Coturnix japonica: one gene and its partner. The protein of the gene in region 1 purifies or fractionates together with the protein of each later gene. This does not show direct contact. Links are inferred from orthologs where the notes say so. Each region holds a gene or a part of one and is shown in the gene's direction. Other genes may lie near its edges.

Region 1 (4,395 bases):
AACGTCTGCTGTCCTTTAAGCAGCAGCAGGTAACTCACAAGGAACTTCCACCATTCATTTTACATAGGCTGTCCCAGTATCCTGTGAGATACTGAAATCCAATTCCATTCACTCTGCTTTGTGTGATGGTTCAACAACATCCAAATCCAACAGCTTTCATCAGCCGCTTAATTCTAAGGTGCCAGTCTGCCTCATTATGAGCAGATGAAAAGATCTGGGGGGGGGGAAGGGGATGGGACAGTGAGGACAAATCCAAGCGGTTGGTGTTTCTGAAGGAGGCCATTCATCACTGTATCAGTTTGTTAACAAAGAGAAGATACTACACTTGATTGATTGAAACGCTTCCAAACCTGCTTTGGAAGTGAGAGAAGCACACGTTGCTCCCAGATATTAACGATCCCTCTTTGCTTTTATCCCTCTGCAGCTTCAATCCAGGCGCTGCTCTGCCTACAGACAAGAAGAAAGCCGGGCCGTCCCCGGGTGACGTGGAGGCGATTAAGGTGAGTGCAGAGCGCTTAGACAGGAGGGGAAGCATAGAACCTTCAGGTGTCACAGCTTAACGAGGCGTCCCAGCTTAACAACGAGGTGTTTTGTTGCTCAGTGCTGTTCATTCATTCTCAATGTGCTGACACTTTATGTCCCGTTGTCTTTCAGGCTGCCATAGCAAACGCCTCCACGTTGGCCGAGGTGGAGCGGCTCAAGGGTTTATTGCAGGCCGGCCAGATCCCCGGCAGGGAACGCAAAGCAGGTCGGTTTGCTTTGCTAAACCCTCTTTAACTGTGAACCTCCGTGTGCTGGGAGGGACTTGAAACCCTCGAGGTTGACGTGCTGCTTCCTGCTCTTCCAGGCTCCGCCGAGGACAACGAGGAGGAGATGGATGAGGACCCGGTTCCGTCGGTCCCGTAGCCCCGCTCCGCGTTAATAAAGCTCCGTGTCCGCTCCGCCATTGCCCGGCCCGCTTCATGCACCCGGGGGGTGGGGGCGGCTTCGCGATTGGTCCCTTTGCACTTCCTTTCTAATTCCCATTGGTTCATGTAACCGTGATGTCACCCTTTTCGTTTCGTGATTGGCGTTCTGTCCGCGAGGCGGCAGAGGACGAGGAGGGCGGTGATTGGCTGCGGTGTGGACGAGGAGGGCGGTGATTGGTTGTGGTGTGGACGAGGAGGGCGGTGATTGGCGGGGGGGCGGCTCTCGGCCGTGAGGCGGCAGTGGAGCCATGGAGCTGGGGGAGCGCGGCGGGGCCGGGCCGGGCCCTGGGAAACCGGCGTTGGAACGGGAGGGACTCGAGCTGCTACAGCACACGGGTGGGATATGGGATATGGGATATGGGATGGGGGATATGGGATGGGATGGGATGGGGACAGCGGGGTTTGGGGGCAGCGGGTGAGGAGAACTAGGCCTGGGGCGGGGGGAGCTGGGCCTACGAGCTGCGGTGCTGTGAGGGGATGGGAGCCGCCGTGTCCTTGTGCAGCGCTGAGGGGATGAGACCGAGTCCTTGTTCCCTTCCCAGTGGGCGCCCTGCTGTCCAGCTATGGCTGGTACATCCTCCTGGCCTGCGTCGCCATCTATTTCATCGTCCAGAAGATGGCCCCAAAGCTGAGGCTGAGGTCCAGCAGCCAGCAGGGAGCGGCTGGAGCAGCTGTTGGTTTGTACGGGGAGCTGGGATGGGTCAGTGTGGAGAAAAAGGCTTGGGGGAAACGTTATTGCTTCCTGCTGGTCGCTGAGAAGAGGCTGTGGTGAGGGGCTGGGGGGGATCAGCTTCTGCTCCCAGGTAACAGCAATAGGTGTTAGACAGATGGTCAGATGACAGATAAAGGCCTTAAATTGCGCTAAAGGAGGATTGGGTTGGATATCAGGAAGAAAAGAACAGTGGTGCATTGGCACAGGCTGCTCAGGGAGGTGGTGAAGTTGCTGTCCTGGAGGTGCTCAGGAGCTGTGGAGATGTGGCACTGGGGAGGGATGTGGTCTGTGGGCCAGTTTTCCTTTTAACTTCTTCATAGAGTGATAGAATGACCTGGGTTGCAAAGGCCCACAGTGCTCATCCAGCTCCAACCCCCTGCTGTGTGCAGGTCACCAACCAGCAGCCCAGGCTGCCCAGAGCCACATCCAGCCTGGCCTTGAATGGGGCATCCACAGCCTCCTTGGGCAACCTGTTCCAATGTGTCACCATCCTTTGTGTGAAAAAGCCAAACTTCTAAAGGCCAATCATGAACAGAGGTGGTTTCTTAACGTAGATTTCCCAAGACTGCCAGTTTTCTATTGAGATATGTTTGATGTTTGTGAGTAATTTCTCTGCTGATGGAGCACATTAAATCTGCCACTGCTTTGCTGTTTAACCCAAGCAGCAGCAGCAGTTCTGAGGAGGAGGAGGAGGAGTGGATGTGGGCTGTTTGCCTTCTGCTTCTGCTTCAAACAGGTTCTGTGGATAAAAATGGATTTCCTGTGATGCATGGATGGTATTTCTGAAATTACTTGTATTGAACAAATCCTCCAGAAATAGAAGCAAACATCCTAAAGCTCGGATGTTAGTTTTGTATGGGTTTGTTCCGTCAGTGTCCACATCCATTAAAAACCCATCAAATAACAGCTCTAAAATATTCAAATAAGAAATTTAGATCAGCATATGAGTTAATGTAAGAAATCACTGAACTTGAGCTGTGATTTTCTGTGGGGCTGCTGCAGTGGGAGGTGTGTGCCTTTCCTTATTGCAGTTCTTTGAGGGTTCCAGTTAGAGTCTGTTCTGAGCTGCTTTGCAAACTCTCTGCCTATTCCCCAGAGCCTGACATGGTGGTAAGAAGACAAGAAGCTTTGTTGGCATCTCGTCTCAGGATGCAGGAGGAGTTGAATGCACAAGCAGAAAGATACAAAGAAAAACAAAGACAGGTAACCGGAGAGTATTTCTTTCTTTAACTCACTGACTTGTCATCAGGTGCTTTGCTGAAAGTTGTAGAAAGCTGTATACGGTTCTGGATACCAGAATAGGATCTCTCTGCTGGAATGGGGGTGATGGGATTTTTCTCCCTCCTTCACCTGATCTGCTTTTCATATGGCTTGATACACTTTGTGATAACAGGCGTTAGGTATCGTGATGGCCATTCAGTGCACTTGTATGATGCGCTGACCTGAGGTCCTCCTGCACTTAGTTAATTAGAGTGATTGATACGTTCAGTGTTTTGCTCATTCTTGAAGTGATTAATGCTTCCCTGCAAGAATTTGTGTGGCTGGAATGCTTTGGGCCTTGCTATCTTGGAGCTGTAAATCAATGTGATCAGCAGAACAGTAATATTTCTCATTAATCCGAGTTCTTTGATGTGATACTGCATCAGGTAAAGAGGGATCCAGTGGTTTTCATGAATCCTGTTGTAGCTGTTTCTGTAGCAATGGCAATTCTGATCATTCTAAAATCTTAGTCTGATGTATTCTCCTTTTGTTTCTTAGCTTGAAGAACAGAAGCGAAGGCAGAAGATAGAAATGTGGGAAAGTATGCAGGAAGGAAAAAGTTATAAAGGAAACCTGAAGCTGAGTCAGGTAACAGCCGTGTCATTCATCAGGTTACGTGTGTGTCATTAGATTATCTGGACTTCATGTTGACTGAATTCTGAGTAATATTTGCTTTTGTGAACAGCAAGAAGCAGAACCTGGTGCCTCCACCTCATCAGCAGTCCCGAAATCTAAACCAAACAAGAAGCCCTTGCGAGGAGGTGGTAAGTAGGGAATCCTTGAGGTGTTCTATCTTCAGACAGAGCTGCATGCAGCTCAACATACAGCTCGTGTCCTTGTGTACAAAGTCATTATCATCATTATTATAATTACCCATAATTTTCCTCTTATTGAAGGAGGAAACAAAATGTGCCTTCCATGTAAGTGCTTTAGCTTTACCCATTGTGGTCTGTGTGAAGCTGGGGCAGAGCAGCAGGAAGTTCCCTCATGTGTTTCCCCAGGGAGAGGCAGCATTTTGGCCACAACTCACCGAGATTATTGTGACTAAAACTGCAGGTTCTTGCAGTGCTTCTGGGTCTCCTCCTTCATGGTTTGAAAGTCATATTGTTTAATTTGGTCTGTCCTTCAGTCACCTGTAATAATAATTAAATGTAAGAAGAATATATCTTACTTTCTATTATGTAGATTCTGTCCATTGAGACGTTCCATTAAGGAGAATATGACCTTGTTTGTCAGGTGTTGAGGTAATGACCTCTTGGATGTACAAATCCTGCTGATCCATAGAATTGCTACCAACTCTGCAATCCACCATTACTGTCTTAGCACTAAACTCACTGTCAACCACTGAAATTTGTCCTGATGGATTAATAATTCTTGTCTGTACCCTTAAATCCTTCACATAAGGATCACTGCTGTCAATCAGCTGTGCAGCTGCTCTCCTTTCTCTCCTCTTGG
Region 2 (4,938 bases), on another chromosome or scaffold:
ATATATATTTCACTAAGAGAAAAATGAACTCAAAAGAAGAGAGGAAAGAAATCATATCTTCTTATACTACGTGTAAGTAGCAGTACCAACTTGAAAGCACACACTTGAAAAGATATGAATATGGCCTCAAGTTGCGCCAGGGCAAGTTTAGGTTGGATATTAGGAAGAACTTCTTTACAGAAAGGGTGGTTATGTACTGGAATAGGCTTCCAAGGGAGGTGGTTGAATCGCCATCCCTGGTTGTGTTTAAGAGCCGTTTGGTTGTGGTGCTCAGGGATATGATTTAGTGTAGGGTTGTTAGAGTTAAGGTACTGGTTAGGCTGCGGTTGGACTTGATGATCTTCAAGGTCTTTTCCAACCTGGGTAATTCTATGATTTTATGAATGTATTTCTGTAAATGACAATACCAGGTGGCTGTAATTCCTGGCTTGTACTATTAATTGATAGCACAACTCCTTTGGTAGTTTTCCATCACCAAATGGAATTGATGTTTGTTCAGTTTGGTTACGAAGTTCTTATCCTTTGCAGCAGCAGCTTAACTAATACAATAGTACACAGGGAACCTACATGAAATACTGGCTTGCAGCTTCAGCTCTGAGAAAACCACCAACTATCTGCACAGCCATGGAAAATAAATGGTTACAAACATGTGGCACAGTGACAGGCAACTTCCATAACCCTGAATATTGCAGGTATCAAAACAGTTAAAATGGCATTCTATAGGTATTCTTACCTGTTTCCATTCAGGTCAAAAACGTATATATTTCCTTGGTGGTCTCCAGCAAGCAGAGAATCTCCAGAGCTGTCAAAAGCCACATTCAGAAAACGTATCGCCTTGGAGTGATACCCTGTAGCACTATGAATGATGTTCACTATAACCCTGTAAAGAAAGCAGACAAAAACAATCGTTTTGAGTTGTTTTATAGCCACGTATTTTTCCAAGCCCTAAGATTAAAATCTCCCTTGATCACTGTTTTACAGTTCTAATCATTCGTAGTGTTCTGTGAGAAACCTTCCACGAGAAATAGGTCTTTGTAATATAAAAGATATATACTAAACAAAGGAAGTCAGTTGCTATGTTGAAAAAATAATGTTAGAGAGTAAAGCAGGCAGGAGGAATCCCACCACTCATGGTCCTGTTATGCAGCTACTCGTGACCTGATTTTCATTTGTATTATTGTATGACCAGTTATCTCCTACATCATCTGGATGTAAATTCAGTCACAGAATCACAGAATGAGCCGGGTTGGAAGGGACCTCAAGGATCATGTAGTTCCAACCCCCCTGCCTGGCAGGGCCACCAAACATACACCTTTACTAGATCAGGTTGCCCAGGGCCCTGTCCAACCTGGTCAGTCAGAGTAAGTAACTAAAACTGTGTAGAATATTGGATAGTGTGACCACACTAAGGTAAAATAGGGATGCCTCTGAGCCACTGAATGCCTGGAAAGCAATATAACCACTACATGTCTGCAGGTACTGGTGTGTACACCAAGTGCAAGTGCACATCTGTACGGCCACGTAGCTATGGCCACCCACATCCCCCCGTGCCCTCGGCCTGTCCGTGCCCCGCTGTTACCCGCCCGTTGCCGGGCTGTGTTTGCGCTGCCATAATGCGCCGTGCTCCCTGCAGCCCACATCGCAGCTCGCCATCCTCACACAACGCCGCTCCCGCGCTCGCCGACTCCCCTCAGGGCTCTCTCAACTGCCGCCGCCGCGGGGGGTGCCGCACACTTGGTACAACCCGCTCCCCCTTTACCGACGGGGAGCGGCGGGAAGAAGGCGGGAGATTCCCCCCCTCCTCCAGCATGGAATGGATCAGCCCGACTGGATCTCGGGGCACGCAGGGAGCTGTAGTTCTCAGTGCAGCCTGGAGGCGGGGCCGGAAGTCAGCGGATGGGTCGAACTGTGCGGCGCCACGTCTGGTTGTGGCCCGGCCCTTCCGGCACCGCTCCCTGAGCTCCCTCAGCTCCCTCAGCTCACACAGCGCCCTCAGCTCCCGGTTCCTGGGAGTCCTCGGTGGAGGCGACATGTCGGACTTGGGGGACTGGTTCCGGAGCATCCCTCTCATCACCCGTTACTGGTTCGCCGGCTCCATCGCGGTGCCGCTCATCGGCAAGTTGGGCCTCGTCAGCCCCGTCTACCTCTTCCTTTGGCCCGACGCTTTCATCAACCGCTTCCAGGTACGGGCCGCACTACCAATCCCAGCGTGCTTCGCGGCGCCATCGCTGAGGCGAGCCTGGGCCGGGCGCGCGGGGCATGCTGGGGGTTGTAGTGCGGGGCTGCAAGAAGGCGGCCGTGCCTCCCTGCCGTGGCCTGTGTCCGGGACGGGCAGTGCGGCAACAGGGTGACACGGCCACTATGGCACCTGTGAGGGTGTAACGCCGGGACATCACCTTTGTGGTTTGAGTTGAGGAGGTGCCTTTGCACTCATATTATGTGTCAGCATCGGAGCTCTATCACAGAATCACACAGAATCGCAGAATGAAGTCTCAGGTTTGAAAGGATCCTTCAACGACATGTATGCTTCCAACCATGTATGTTTCCTCCTGCCTGGCAGGTCCACCATAACAATTCACCTTATGCTTAGATCTAGTTTGCCCAGTTGCCCCGTCAAGGCCTGGTTGCGTTTGAATCACCTCCAATGACGTGCGGATCCACAACCGTCCCTGCTCACTCCTGTCCAGGACCAACCACTTCTCCTAGTAGAACTTTCCCCTTATATCTCCAACCTAAATCTTCCTCTCTTTAATCTTAAATAACCATTCCCCGTCCTGCTATGTCAGCCTTCAAAGAGTACCTCCTGGAGTAAGTTCCTTCCAGTACGAATATCTATATGAGGTCTACCTTCGCATACCTCTCTATGGCTGAACAACCCAACTCCCTTCAGCCTGTCTCCTCAGTCAGGGGAGGTCTTTCTCAGCCCTCTTTATTCATCTTCTCGCCCCTCGGACCGCTTTCCAAAATCTCCATGTCTTCTTGTTACGAGGGCTCCACAACGGATCACAGTGCAACAGATGGGTGGCCTCAACAATAAGCAGATGTTATTATATGGATTGCAGTCATCACCTCCCTATCGCCTGCTGACACTTCCCTCGCCTGATGGAGCCCAGGATTCTCCATTGCTTTCCGGGCTGCAAAGCGCATTCGCTCATGTTGACTCTTTCATTCTCAATTGCAGGACCCCCAGGTCCTTCTAGTGAAGAAACCAAAGCAGGCCGCTGCTGCAAGGTGCTCAATGAAGGTTGCTGTGTGGGCTTCCTCCTTCTTGTGCAACAGATCAGAGTCAATTCTGTATCCCCTTTTAAAATGGGATTGCAAGCAGATTCCTTTGCTGCACTGAAGACTCGGTGCTGTGTGGGTGTTATGGAAGTGCTTGGGAAAGTTGTGTGATTGCTGTTGTAATCTAAATAGATTTGCTTGTCAAATTAAGAAGCAACTGTTGTGGCTGCTCAAACAGTGGTAAGTGATACTTGAGCTATTTTTAATCTATTTCTTAATCTTCCTGTTAAAACTAATAAGCCTTGTGTATGATCTCATTCATATAAATATGTCCTTTTCTTTGCTCTTTTTAGATATGGCGGCCAATAACAGCAACTTTCTTCTTCCCGGTGGGACCTGGAACAGGTTTTCTGTACTTGGTGAATTTGTATTTCCTGTATCAATATTCATCACGTTTAGAAACAGGTACGTCGTCCATTAAGTCGTATGCAAATGGTAAACTGTCTCGAGTTAATGGAGTCCTTGCAATGACAGACAGAGCTCCTGCTGGGACTGTTTGGGAGTAATGGAACTGTGGTTGATTCAGAAAGAGCTGAGGAATAGGGCTCATCTCTGTGCCCTCTGATGTCAGTCAAAGGAGAAACTGCACTGAGAACTTTGTGACTTTGGGGCAGGGAGCCTGTTCAGTTGGGATCCTTCTTTCTGCAGGAGGAATTGGTGCTTCTAGTTGACAGATATCAGGAAGTGAAAGTGAGACTGAAAGGTAGTTTTACTTCTGTTTCCTTATGTCTAATGTCTTTTAATATGAAGGTATGATACAGCATATGTAATAACAGGTGTATCCTTCTTGACAAAATAGTGGTCATGCTTTTTCTCTTTTTAAAGGCAAAGATTCTTATTTGTATTCTTCTTTATGTTGTTTTGAATTGAGAGAGATCCTCTACAAATGCAGTGTACTCTTCTGTCAAATAGACATGTGAAAAGTTAAGGAACGAGTTGGATCTTGAGGGTAGAAGGCAGGAAATCAGACAGTGGAAAAGAATCTTCATTTTAATTTGCTTAAAGGGGAAATAAGTTAGAAGGTGGCTTCAAATGAGTCTTTTTGTATTGTGTAGTTTGTTGAAGCTAGACAATAATTGTTTCAATTAAATAATCAAAGCACTTACAAAGCTAAAATCCTTCTAAAAGCCTTTTTGAGCAGAGATTTCAGTGTAGTAATAATACAGTCTCAAAGCTGATGGTTGAAGTGGAAATGCTCTGCAAGATAGGGGGGGAATTAGGAAAGACCTGCTGTAGGGAGCTTTCCCCATCAACCTGTCTTTAGGAGAGTCTTGTGGGGTACCTTTTAAGTCATAAGAATAACAGGGAAATAAAGGAGTGTGACCATGATGCCATATTGTATTTGGTTGTTTTCTTAATTAAAGTAGTTGTAGTTCAGTAACTAGAAACAGTTCCTGGTCTGTTGGTGGAAGGTTATAAACAAATACATGCTTGTGAGTAAGAACAGTCACGACATTCAGCTGCACAAAGCTATATGGAATGAGAGTTCATGGTGGATATAGAGGAATTATAAGACATCACTTCTTGGATGTATTCTACAAAAGGTTTATGCTGGTTGTGCTGTGGCAGAAGTCTTCTGGAAGAAAGTCAGATATTTCAGCAATAAATTCACATACCCGCACTACTTACCTGTATTTTGAGCTGGGAATTCAGCTA

The links.
Region 2: the proteins of SELENOS (region 1) and DERL1 purify together in Homo sapiens (affinity purification with western blotting; 6 studies listed by BioGRID and IntAct, with this or other methods). This does not show direct contact. The link is inferred for Coturnix japonica from reciprocal best matches to the Homo sapiens genes SELENOS and DERL1.

What each region holds. Positions count from the first base shown.
Region 1 is NC_029525.1:15,969,301-15,973,695, reverse strand, and holds the start of SELENOS (selenoprotein S), read left to right. Parts: upstream 1-1,168; 5' UTR 1,169-1,216; coding exon 1,217-1,304; intron 1,305-1,510; coding exon 1,511-1,645; intron 1,646-2,776; coding exon 2,777-2,883; intron 2,884-3,438; coding exon 3,439-3,528; intron 3,529-3,625; coding exon 3,626-3,704; intron 3,705-4,125; coding exon of another isoform or gene 4,126-4,139; exon of another isoform or gene 4,140-4,184; intron 4,185-4,395. Other genes in the region: SNRPA1 (U2 small nuclear ribonucleoprotein A'), read left to right, coding at 425-500, 655-748, 848-906. UniProt on the Homo sapiens protein: Involved in the degradation process of misfolded endoplasmic reticulum (ER) luminal proteins. Participates in the transfer of misfolded proteins from the ER to the cytosol, where they are destroyed by the proteasome in a ubiquitin-dependent manner.
Region 2 is NC_029517.1:124,321,920-124,326,857, reverse strand, and holds the start of DERL1 (derlin-1), read left to right. Parts: upstream 1-1,904; 5' UTR 1,905-2,030; coding exon 2,031-2,183; intron 2,184-3,575; coding exon 3,576-3,687; intron 3,688-4,938. Other genes in the region: TBC1D31 (TBC1 domain family member 31), read right to left, coding at 734-880, 1,580-1,653. UniProt on the Homo sapiens protein: Functional component of endoplasmic reticulum-associated degradation (ERAD) for misfolded lumenal proteins. Forms homotetramers which encircle a large channel traversing the endoplasmic reticulum (ER) membrane.